Rattus norvegicus: one gene and its partners. The protein of the gene in region 3 purifies or fractionates together with the protein of the main gene of each other region. This does not show direct contact. Links are inferred from orthologs where the notes say so. Each region holds a gene or a part of one and is shown on either strand. Other genes may lie near its edges. The genes, in order: Cpsf3, Dnaaf2 and Ube3d.

The links.
Region 1: the proteins of Ube3d (region 3) and Cpsf3 purify together in Homo sapiens (affinity purification with mass spectrometry; 4 studies listed by BioGRID and IntAct, counting the BioPlex papers as one, with this or other methods). This does not show direct contact. The link is inferred for Rattus norvegicus from reciprocal best matches to the Homo sapiens genes UBE3D and CPSF3.
Region 2: the proteins of Ube3d (region 3) and Dnaaf2 purify together in Homo sapiens (affinity purification with mass spectrometry; 4 studies listed by BioGRID and IntAct, counting the BioPlex papers as one, with this or other methods). This does not show direct contact. The link is inferred for Rattus norvegicus from reciprocal best matches to the Homo sapiens genes UBE3D and DNAAF2.

What each region holds. Positions count from the first base shown.
Region 1 is NC_086024.1:46,568,164-46,571,796, reverse strand, and holds part of Cpsf3 (cleavage and polyadenylation specificity factor subunit 3), read right to left. Parts: intron 2,890-3,633; coding exon of another isoform or gene 2,829-2,889; coding exon 2,826-2,828; intron 1,251-2,825; coding exon 1,153-1,250; intron 1-1,152. UniProt on the Homo sapiens protein: Component of the cleavage and polyadenylation specificity factor (CPSF) complex that plays a key role in pre-mRNA 3'-end formation, recognizing the AAUAAA signal sequence and interacting with poly(A) polymerase and other factors to bring about cleavage and poly(A) addition.
Region 2 is NC_086024.1:93,403,474-93,407,705, forward strand, and holds the start of Dnaaf2 (protein kintoun), read right to left. Parts: upstream 2,851-4,232; 5' UTR 2,783-2,850; coding exon 977-2,782; intron 1-976. UniProt on the Homo sapiens protein: Required for cytoplasmic pre-assembly of axonemal dyneins, thereby playing a central role in motility in cilia and flagella.
Region 3 is NC_086026.1:96,290,168-96,294,378, forward strand, and holds the start of Ube3d (E3 ubiquitin-protein ligase E3D), read right to left. Parts: upstream 2,912-4,211; 5' UTR 2,791-2,911; coding exon 2,714-2,790; intron 1-2,713. UniProt on the Homo sapiens protein: E3 ubiquitin-protein ligase which accepts ubiquitin from specific E2 ubiquitin-conjugating enzymes, and transfers it to substrates, generally promoting their degradation by the proteasome.

The DNA of each region.
Region 1 (3,633 bases), on a different chromosome or scaffold from region 3:
TGACAAGGAAACAGGGCCGTCAGGGCTTTAGCTACCAGAGGCCAGCACTGCTCCAATTCCTGCTCACCCGACAAAACTGTGCTAAGTACACTGGGATGCTGTGAGGAGACCGAGGAGGCATGGCCGCTCTCTTCTTCTAGCATGGAGTCTGGGGGTCAAACTCCTGTCAGGCCTGGCCGCTAGTACCTCATCCTCTGTTCTTCTCAATGCCTCTCCACTCTATCAGTGACTGATTAGAAGGGAAAGAACATGAACCAAATCTACACTTGACAGCCAGAATTGTAACAATTGAAACTTGTCACCGTGGTTTTTTTTTCTCTTTTTGGTTTTTTGAGGCAGGGTTTCTCTGAGCAGCCCTGGCTATCCTCGAACTCAGAGATGGGCTGCCTCTGCTGGGATTAAAGGTGTGCACTGCCACTGTCCAGCTTCGCCATCTTTAAATGAAGTTTTTCAAGATAGTCTTATTGTGCCATCTGCACTTGCTACAGACCCAGCAATCCTCCTGCCTCAGCCTTCTCAGTGTTAGGACTGCAGGTGTGCAGCACCACAGTCTCCTGAAGCTCTTACTGAGGAGTGTGACAAGGTGGCAAGGAGCTCCTGTGAGAGGAGACACCTGAGGATGGCCCACAGCGGACATGACACCCCCAGCACTCACTGTCACACACAGATGCTTCCTGGTTTGAGCCTCAAGACAGAGCGGCGCTGGTTTACACTTAGAAATTTGCTTTCATTCTTATCAAATTTTCGTTTTATTTTAATTTTGAGACAGTCTCACTATGTGGCTCTGATTGACCTGGAGCTCACTGAATAGACCAGGCCTTAAACTCAACTCCCAAAGATCTGCCTGTCTTTGCCTCTCAGTGCTGGGACTAAAGGCATGCAATACCAGTCCCAGTTTATTAAGAAAAAGCAGGTAACAAATCTGACCAGCAAGATGGCTCGAGGATAAAGGGATGGCCAACTAGGAAGGCTGACCTCTGATTCTCATGAACATCACTGTGGCATGTGCATGTTCATACTATACATACAGCTGGACGGATGGGACACACACACACACACACACACACACAGAATGTAAACAAAAACCCACACCAAAGCCTAGAAAGGCGGATCATCACAGCAAAGGTCAGTAGGTCAGTAAGGGAAACTTACTGACTGATCAACAGAAGGTCGATCTCAGCTGGGTCGATGAGGTCAATGTAAGGAAGAGCATCCATTCCTTCCAGGCCAGGGTGGATCCCACAGTCTAGCTGGAGGGGGAAAAACACAGACAAAACAGATGACAACCTGCTACATATCTGATAAACCTCATCCAGCAGACCGACACTAGGACCGCGCTCAGAGGAGCCCAGGACATGTGCACTCAGAACAGTCTCAGGAAAGAACAGGATGTGCCCGAAGCAGCTCGTCTCTTTGGGCACTGCTCACGTTTGACAGCACTGACTTGCTGGGGTTCTTCCTCAAGTGCTCTTCTATCAGAAGCCGGCAGACACAAGTTTGCAGGTTTGGAGCAATTCTCCCACCAGGGAGAGCACCATCACACCTTCCTACAGGCTGATGGCTGGGAGCTTATCCTACGAGGTGTCACTTCCACACTAACAAATGCTTAAATGTCATTTACAGGCTGGAGAGGTGGCTCAGCGGTTAGAGCACCGACTGCTCTCCCAGAGGTCCTGAGTTCAAATCCCAGCAACCACATGGTGGCTCACAACCATCTGTAATGGGATCTGATGCCCTCTTCTGGTGTGTAGGTGTACATACAGCCACAACATTCATATACATAAAACAGACCTTTTTAAAAAATGCCTGAATGACTGGTGGGAGCTGGAGAAATGGCTCAGCGGTTAAGAGCACTGTCTACTCTTCCAGAGGGAGGTTCAACACCCACCACTAACATGGTAGCTCACAACTATAACTGTATTTCTAGGGGAGTCTATATCATCTCCTGACCTCCACAGGCACCAGGCACAAACACAGTGCACAGATATACAGACCAAATAACACATAGAATAATTTTTTAAATAGTTGACTCTGGTAAACACATGCCTGTTCTTTTAGGACTAAGAGAATTAGGGGCTGGAGAGATGGCTCAGTGGCTTTTCCAGAGGTTCTGAGTTCAATTCCACATGGTGGCTCACAACCATCTGTAATAGGATCCGATGCCCTTTTCTGGTGTGTCTTAATACAGCTACAGTGTATTCACATACATAAAATAAATAAATAAATCTTTAAAAAATTCTTAAATAAAAAAGAAAGACTAAGAGAACTAAAGAAGAAATGAGAATCAAGGAACTAGAGTCAGTGTTCCTCCTTTCTCCTGGGACCTTTGAAACCAGCGCTCCTGATCCTATAGCCTCTCAGGACCTGACAGAGCCAGCCAGACTGGTGCCCCTTGTGGCGTGGCCCAAGTTGACACCCATTCAAGGCACTTAATTCCTTGAGGTCTTCCAAAGGAGTGGGGTCCTCAGGTTATCTAGACAAGGGAATGGACAAGGACTTTGAGGAGACAACAGTCTGGCAGATCCAGCTGGCAGTTTTACAGTGTTTTATCTTTTTAGGTTACCTGATGCTTTTAATTACTAAGTGAAGTGTGTTAGTCTCTCAGCGCACAGTGTCCGCTCTATACATCTCTCTCAGATAGGGCTAGAGATAACTGGCTCAGTAGGACAGACCTAACGGTTAGTATGGATAGAGCTACACTGTTTTCTTGACTGTATAAATAATCATTACCTAGGCTAGGAGTGTGATTCAGCTTAGAACACACGCTTGGCATGCACATGGCCCAAAGTTCAATTTCCAGTAGCAATAACAGCAATAATAATTACCATGATTTTCCTTCCTTTGAACTCCAGAATAATACATGATCTTCCCACTTCTTGGCCAGCACCACTGCAAATAGTCAAGGGGAGAACTAAAGTGAGTAAAAAGCAATCACACAGCCCAGAGCTTGGTTTAGAGGCTCACAATGACAATGGCAGCTCTAGGGGCTATGGCAAATAAGTCAGTGTTCAGTACAGCCCGTCTCACTCCACCCCAGTAACATCCAACACACTAAATTCAAACTCTTTCACAACGAACTGCCCGAGTTACAACAGCAGTCACTTAATTCCCAAGACAGGACAGTTCTACAGGTTCAAACAGAGGATGAGTGTGGGGTAGAAAAAGGAGAAAAGCGATCTTCAGGTGACGTGGGATGTTTAAGACGTGAACAAGCAATCAAGTGACACTTCCAGAACAAAGCCATGTCAGTGTTTCACCCTGAGATCACCTTACCATGTAGCCTGGTCACCATGGTTTTAGCCCTAACCCTTCAGGCACATCTTAAGCTAAAAAATAACAGCTTCTTGGATATTTTCCCCAAAATCTCGCTCACAATGAACTCTCAAACATGGTACTAACAGCCTAGGATGTTGACCAGACCTCAAAGACCTTGTGATCTAGGAGGAGTGGGGCTGAGACAGACCCTTACCCACTGGACTAGCCACAGACTAAGAGAATAAGAAACAATAGGGATGTAATCCCAGCACTTGGGGGACACACAGAGAATAAAGTTGTCTGGCGGGCAGAGCTCTGTGGATCTGGGGCCAGCCTGACCTACAGAGAGCTAAACGACAGCCAGGGATACATAGAGAC
Region 2 (4,232 bases), on a different chromosome or scaffold from region 3:
CTAAAACTCTTATGAAGTCCCCTAGTTACTATTTAGGGTGTAAATATGTATTTTGTACTTTTTATGTGTAAAGTGACAATTCTGGCCTTGAAAGCCACAAGTCTCTCTATGATAAAAACACTAATAGTAATAAAATGATTATACATGTCTCACTACTCCCAATTTTCTTTTTATTTTCTTTAGAACCGTGTCTCACTACAAAACACAGACTGGCCTCGAACTCCTAATCCTTCTTCCTCAGGCTCCTGAACCAAAACAGATTTATCCTAAAACTAAACGTATATATCCTAAACCTCCTACATTTCGCCAGTCAGTTTGTTTGCCCAGAAGTGTTTCTGATTTAGTTGCTCCTTGGGTCAAACACTAGGGGCAAGGACAACTAAAAGCAAACGGAGGGAAACTTTCTTTGTAAATTACAGCACCCACCAGAGGGCGACCTTACTGAATTTAAGCCCTCATTGAGTTAAGTAGCCTCAAATGGCCAAATGGGATGTAGGAAAGGACACTAAGGCCTAGAGCAAGGGTGCTCTACCACTGAGCTCAATCTCCAACCCCAGCATAGAACGTAAATTACTTCCTCTCTGGAAGAAATCTATCATTACTTGCACAAATTCTAAGCTTGGAAGCAAGTGACTTCCCAAGTTAAAATAGGAGCACTTTGGAGGGAATTTTTACCACAAGTCCTTTTGAGAACGACTAACGATATAACCTTTTTCTCAAAAGAGATAGAACCCTCAATTTTCTTGCATAAGTTTCCAGAAGTCTAGGAGTCACTAAAATCCAGTTTTCTCTAGTCAGTCGGTGGACCCCAAAACAACCCTGAAGACTTGAAGTGCATCTTTAGAACATGTGCAATCTTCGCTTTGCGAATGAGCTTAACCTGCACTATTATATGAACGAATAGAAAATATTTATGTCCATGTAACAAAAATGTTTATAGTAAGATAAGAGTATTTCAAATAGTGAGAACGGTTACCTCCAAAGAATCCTTGTTCAAGCCCCAATACCACTCTCGCCAAAGTCCGTGGCTCTCTGGAGATTTTGCCAGTACTATGACAGCATTGTTTAAAGAAATGCTAATCGCAGGTTCTTTGGTACTCAACTTATTTTCCGGAGCAAACTGCAAAGTGAAGGAGTAACCTGAGTCTTGTGTGGAGAAGCACAGTTCGTAACTGAAGGGACTCAGATCCCCGTGAAGACTTTGCGGCTGAATCCCAGGCACTTGGATGAGCAAAGTCAAGGAGTCTTCATCCTGATTACACTGTAAAGGAGGGCACAAGGGTTTGATGCTCTCCGTTCCCGGGCCACCCATGTCTGAGCCCGAGGTGTCGTGGCAGGTCCCCTCCTGTTCCTCACTAGTCTGGACACTGAGGTCTCCGTACACTCCCGATCTTTCCGCAAGGGATTCAGCGTCGCCGCTCTGGAAAGCAGAATAAAGGAGGCTTCGGTTCTCAGGAGTTGTCCCTTCCCCGGGGCCTAGTGGTGTCACTGAGTCCCCTCCGAAGTCCTGCTCCGGCTCGGGAACGAGCTCCCCTTCAGCTTTTGCAGTCCCGGCATCTGGGGCTACCACACAGCTCTTTCTCCCGTGGTCAGCTCCAGAACTATCTGCAGACTCTTCCCGAGCCCCGGCAAGATCGCCCGCGGAAGTGCAGGCTATATTGTCAGTTCCGGTCTCGGCCGTAGGCCCTTCCGGTGTCGTCGAGAAGTCCTGGCGCGCGACCGCCAGCGCCACCGGCAGCGTGACTACCAGCTGCCGCCGCGCCTTATTGTACTGTGCCCTGCCGCGGCCGTCGTCCACCGGGTACGGCAGCGAGAGCCGCAGTCGGTAGTCGGGGTTTCTGGAATCTAGGCACAGCAGCTTCCCCTTCACCTCCAGCTCCGCCCGCTCGGCCGAGCGCAGCAGCGGCAGCTCGATGGTGACCACCAACTCGTGCGGCACGGTGCTTGGGGCCGCGTCGCGCGAGCAACGGTAATCCTGGAGGTCCACGTGGTGGCGCTGCACCACGGAGCAGCGCGGTTCGGTGGGCTCCGGGCGCTGCACAGCCTTGGGAGCCGGGGACGCGGGCGAGCGGGCGGTGCTCTCCGCAGCCGCGGGGTAATGGTACGGGTATGGTGGGTACGGGAGAAGCCCTGGCAGCTCCCCCTCGGGCTGAGCCCGGACGCCCTCGGGAAGGGGCGTGCGGAGCACTGCGGCCTCCGGCGTCCCCTTGTACTTGATCTTCAGGGTCTTGGCGTTCCTGCGGTCCAGCCTGACGCCGAACTGCTGCTCCACCGCCTCCAGGGCCGTGGCGTCCAGCATTTCGCGGAAGCGCTCGTGGCTCCTGGCCAGCGCAAGCGCTTCCGGGTGGAAGACCACGTCGTAGACGGTGTAGCGATTACCGTTGCGGCCCGCATACTGGCGGCCCGGGGCCAGGCTATAGGGCAGGGACCAGTGGCTGCCGGCCGCCGTGCCGCCACGCCCGGGGCCTGGCCGGCTGCTGGGCGCGCCTACCAGTGAGTTGCTGCACACGTTGACGAAGCAGCGATGCTCCCCGTCTAAGCTGGTACGCAGCACGTGGCCCGGCTCAGGGTGCACGAACCGCACCTCCACCCCACGCTCCCTCTCCAGTGCTGTGATCTCCTCCTCGTAGCGCCTCCGGTTCTCAGGGTCCGTGATCTCCGCGGCGTAGTCGGAGAACATTCGGCGGAACTCTGGGTCCTGAAAAGCGGAGGTAAGCCGTTGCACCTCCTCTCCGCTCAGATCCAAGTCTTCCAGCGCTGAAGAGGCTGCCGTCTTGGCCATGGTGACCCACGCGGCCCCTCACCCAGACCCAGTGAAGAATCAACGTGAACCGAGTGTCTAGGATGCGCTTCAGAGTCAGGTTCATGAGGAACTGACCAGCTCAGAAAGGTAACGGCTGAATTATCAGGGCAGCGCGTGCTTTGTTGCCATGGTAACACCCAGGAGGAGGGGCAGTGATCTAGTGGAAATTGCTAGAAATAGGCTCCCCTGTTCCGTGCTTTAAACTACTGCGTCAGGATACGTGTGTTTTGCAGTCTGTCATGGTAATTGTCCTCGTTTTCAGCGCTGTGGCTGTGTCTTATTAACTGTTTAATTTCACAGACAAGTGAGAAGTTTTCTAGCCAAGGCTACAATTCTCAAACCTAACTTTATCTGACTCTTTGCACTTTGCAGAACCAATGTTTAAGCCCTTTCCATTTTCAGGTATTTCACCTCATAGTTGTCCCTCAGAAACCCTTGGGGGCAAAAAAATGACTCCCCAAGCAGATCCCAGAGCCCAGTAAGCACTGGAAAGGTGTTCACTTTTTGTAATGTAAATGTCAGATCTCATAAATCACTTAGCAAAATTATAGACTTTGTCCTGATCAATTTCCCTGGGTTGAGAATAGAATTATAACTTCACTTATTTTTTTTAAACCACATATCCTTAGATTGATTCTGTCGTCTCTAACAGTGCTCCACAAGGAACTAATGCAGCAGACACTGTAGTTAGATAATGGAGTTTTAGCGCCAGACTATAGAAACTTTGTTTTGTTATAGGGCTAGGTGTGGGACCCAGGACGTCCCACCTGTGGCATGAGCTCTACCCTGAGCTATCCCAGAGTATGGTTATGTACTGATAGCTGGTCAGTCCCACACCGGTTTTGTCTGTGCAGCATTTAGCAGTTTACACTGGCATTACTTCAATAACAAGAGCTTTTCCTGGCTTCTCTCTTAACTCATCCTTTTTTGTGGAAGGGAATGTCACAGAACCAAACCCAGGGCTTGACACGTACAAGACAAGCATTCTCTCCCCCAAGCTGCAGGCCTTCCTCTGTTCGATTTTAAGTAGAGTGTCCCAAGACTTGGATGGCATCTCATCTCCGACAGGCCATCTCTTTCACAAATTAAATATATATACTTGGCCAGAGCAGTGACTCACACCGTTAACCCAGCACTCAGAGGCACAGGCAGGAGGATCTGAGTTCCTGGCCAGCCTGGAAGCAAGTTCCAGAAAAATCGAGGCTACACAAAGAAACCCTGCCTTGGAAAACCAAAACAAGTAAATGAAACTCAAATAACCAACTTCTGTTTCACATTCTAAACTCTAGACTCGTCCAACTGTCCATCGGATGTCTCCATTTGAGTAATGGAGCTTGAAAGGGCTGGAAATGGACTCCTTGCCTTGGTTTCCTCTCTCATTTTCAGTACTGAATTCTCGTAATTTTCTGTCCTTGCCCTTCATCTGTCA
Region 3 (4,211 bases):
CAACAAAGACACATGTTCCACTATGTTCATAGCAGCCTTATTTATAATAGCCAGAAGCTGGAAAGAACCCAGATGCCCTTCAACAGAGGAACAGATACAGAAAATGTGGTACATCTACACAATGGAGTACTACTCAGCTATCAAAAACAATGATTTCATGAAATTCATAGGCAAATGAATTGAACTAGAAAATATCATCCTGAGTGAGGTAAAACACTCAGAAAAACACACATGGTATATACTCACTGATAAGTGGATATTAGCCCAAAAGCTCAAATTACCATAGATACAATCCACAGATCACATGAAGCTCAAGAAGAAGGACGACCAAAAGGCAGATGCTTCACTCCTCCTTAAAAGGGGGAACAAAAATATTCATAGGAGGGGATACCGAGGCAAAGGTTGGAGCAGAGACTGAAGGAACAGCCATTCAGAGCCTGCCCTACATGCGGCCCATATATATACAGCCACCAAGACTGATGAAGCTAAGAAGTGCATGCTGACAGGAATTGGATATAGATCTTTCCTGAGAGATACAACCAGAACCATGTCAAATACAGAGGCAAATGCTAGCAGCAAATCACTGAACTGAGAACATGATCCCCATTGGAGGAATTAGAGAAAGGATTGAAAGACCTGAAGGGGCTTGCAACCCCATAAGAACAACAATGCCAACCAACCAGAGCTCCCACAGACTAAACTGCTTCCCAAAGACTATACATGGACTAACCCATGGCTCCAACTGCCTATGTAGCAGAGGATGGTCTTGTTGGGCACCAATGGAAAGAGAAGCCCTTGGTCCTGCCAAGGATGGACCCCCAGTGTAGAGGTAATTGGGGGGTGGGAGGACAGGAACGAAGGTGGATGGGGAGGGGAACACCTTTATAGAAGGGGAAGGGGATGGGATAGGGGACTTATGTCAAGGAAACTGGGAAAGGGAATAACATTTGAAATGTAAATTTAAAAAAAAAAAGAAAAAAATCCAATTAAAAAAAAAAAAGAAAAAAAAATCCAGCAATAGAAAAGTAAGAAAATTGTTTGTGAGATACTCAGGCAATGGAAAACTACTCAGTAAGAAACGGAAAAGGAATACTCATTTAAGCTACAACAGAGATGAAACAAAAATGTCAAAGCCTGGTTGGAGGGTCCCAGTGATGTGAAAGCACAGGCAGGCAGATCTCTATGACTTCAAGGTCAGCCTGGTTTACATCTTCACTTATGGCAGCCATGATGCATTGTTAGACCCTGTCTTAAAAAAAACAAGCAACAACAAAAAGCATATTGGAAAAGGCAGTTTAAAACAACAACCGATGTATCCAGTTGGCTAGGTCAGCTTGACTACATCAGGAATTAATTAAAACTCCAAAATGCAGGGCACACTGTGAGGGATTTCTGCTTAATTCGAAGTAGGAAGATTCACTTCCTCCCTCTGAGGTAGGAAGACACCCCTTTATCCAGATCTCTTGAGCTGGGAAGAGCCACCTCAGATATAAGCCACAACTTCTGCTGGAAGAGGACATGGAAGAGGCAGTCTGTCTGCTCTCTGCCTGCTTGCCCTCGCTCTCGCTGGCATTCTGAAGTACACCGAAGACCAGCTGAGGCATGAAGACATGAGACCCTGAAGACAGTCGGGTCTCACGGAGTGAGCAATTACTGGATCTTTGGACTCACCATTCATTCATAGCCTGTTGGATTAGCTGGACTGCAGGCTGTAAGTCCTTCTCTAAATCCCCTTCCTATTTATAGGGAGACTCATTCAATAAATGCTGTTACTCTAGAGAACCCTGACTAATACACGTCAGCACAGTTCAACAGTGAAACTGTGTAGACTGGTTGAATGACACCAGACCATGGTTGTTACTAGGGGAAGGGAGCTGACTTGTGTTAGAAGTCGAGTCAAAAGACCAGAGAGAGACAAACAAGCAGACTAGCAAAGTAGGTTTCTCAACTCATTTACAGAATGGGTTTTGTATGAGGGATTAAGCCGCTGTATTTGATGTTAGTACCCTTACTTACCTAAAAAATTGGACAGAAATTGCAGATACTTGTTCGAACTTATGACTTCACGCCTCCCCACCCTTCCTCCCCATACTGGAGAAACTCAAGATCTGTATAAGCTACACAAATGAATTGCACCGAGCCTACACTCAATCCAAATCTTAAAACTGAAGAAATTCAGATAAAAGTATTCTGCCCACGTGAGAAACCTAGGATCTGAGCCCAGTTCTCAGGTCATATGCAAAACTGCCACGTTAGCTGTTTGTCAGGTTTTAGGAAAAGAGGAGAAGCTAAGAAAAAAAAAAAAGATACAACTGTGCTGTTCTGTAATAAATTTCCACATCTAACTCTATTTGATGCATTTGTCACAAAGAAATCGGCAAAACCCGTGAAGAGATCGCAGATCATTAAAATTGCTGACCATAAGCCAAAAAGGAGCATTTTGTTCCCCAAAAGTTTCTTGTTTCTGTAGTAAATATGAAATTAAAAGCCCGCAGTCAGGCTGGGGAGATGGTTCAGTGGCTAAAGTGCTTGGTAGGCAAACCATCTCGTCCTGCGCACGCGTACACCGTCCCGTGCACGCGCCTACTGTCCGGTTCGCTCCTCCTTCGGTCCCGCGCATCCGCGCTCCTGTGCCACGCACACGAGCACCAGTCTCCTCGTCTCGCTCACGGCCCACGCACGCGGTCCCGCGCACCGGTGCCTCCTCCCTTACCCCAGGATTAGCAGCGCGCTCTGGAGCCGTCTCCGCACTTCCAGGAACACGCGTGTTTCCGCCTCAACCACCGCCATGGCCGACTCAGGGGCCCACGCGGGACCGAGCCCGCAGTTACCAGAACTGGGACTGGGTGGGAGCACGTGCGGCCGTGGCAAGCCGCTGGCTTCCTGGCGGAGGCAGCGCGGCGGCCAGGCGGGATCGGGCAGTGGCGGTCTGTCGGCTGGAGCGCCACCTTTTGGGCAGAGTACGCACTGCCAAGGCACCGATCTCCCCGCCCCCCCCCGCCCCCCCAGTCGCGCTCTAGTAGGACAGGTGGGACCCAGAGAGCAGAGCTGGCCTCCACTAGAAGATGATGGAGGGACTTGACTATGAGCATTATTCTCCCTAAAATGAGCAGAAAGCTCAGATTTGGGGCAGAAGGAAACTCTCCTCTGGTTTGCTTGGGTAGGGTGAGGTAGATAACGGAGCAGAGGCTGTACAGATGGTACTTTTATTAGCTTCTGTCTAATGTGTCAGAAATGTCAAAGATTGGCCACTACATTTCGCTTTAGATATGGTAGTTCTAAGACTGCAACTGTTGCAAAAACATGTATGAGGTCTCTAGAAGCCATAAAAAGAGAGTGGTGGACTCTTAATATCTTGACTAATCATTCATATTCACTTTTAATAAGCAAAAAGAAAAAAAAAGTAATTTCTTTTTTTATACATCCCCACTATACTGCAGAAGTGAAAGAAGTCATAACTTATTTGCTCCTACAAGATACGTTTTGAAAGTTTGATAAGGTGAAAGAGCTGGTGCGGTCTAAACAAATATATCAGGTCATAGAATTTCAGTAGGACATCTTTTAAAATGAAAAGCTGTCATTTAAAATGATAGATTGTATAAGGGAAATTGTCTTAGTTCTAAGATTTCTTTTGCTGTGGTGAAGCAACGTTACCAAAGAAACTTGGGGAGGAAAGGGTTTATTCAGCTTACACTTCCACATGACTGTATATCATTGAAGGATGTCGGAACAGGAAGCAAAACAGGGCAGAAACCTGGAGGTAGGAGCTGATACAGAAGCTATGGAAGGGTGCTGTTTACTGAGCCTGCTTTCTTATAGAACCTAGGATCACCAACCCAGCGAAAGCACCACCCATTAACCACTCCCGGATCAATCACTATTTAAGAAAACGAGTTACAGTTGGATCTTATGGAAGCATTTTCTCAATGGAGGTTCCCCCCTTTCAGAAGACTCTATCTTGTGTCAGGTTAACATAAAACTAGCCAAGACAGAAACCCTGTTTATCGATGTTCCATTTCATAGTCATAATTACACCAAATAAACTGGAAGCATTTCTAAATAGGTTTAAGCCAAGGATGATGGTGTATATCTGTAATTCCAGCATTTAGGAGGCTGAGGCAGGATTGCTGTAAGTTCAAGGTCAGTTTTGGCTTTATATTAAGTGCCATTTCAGGCTATGTGGCAAGACCCTGGCTCAAAACAAAAACAGT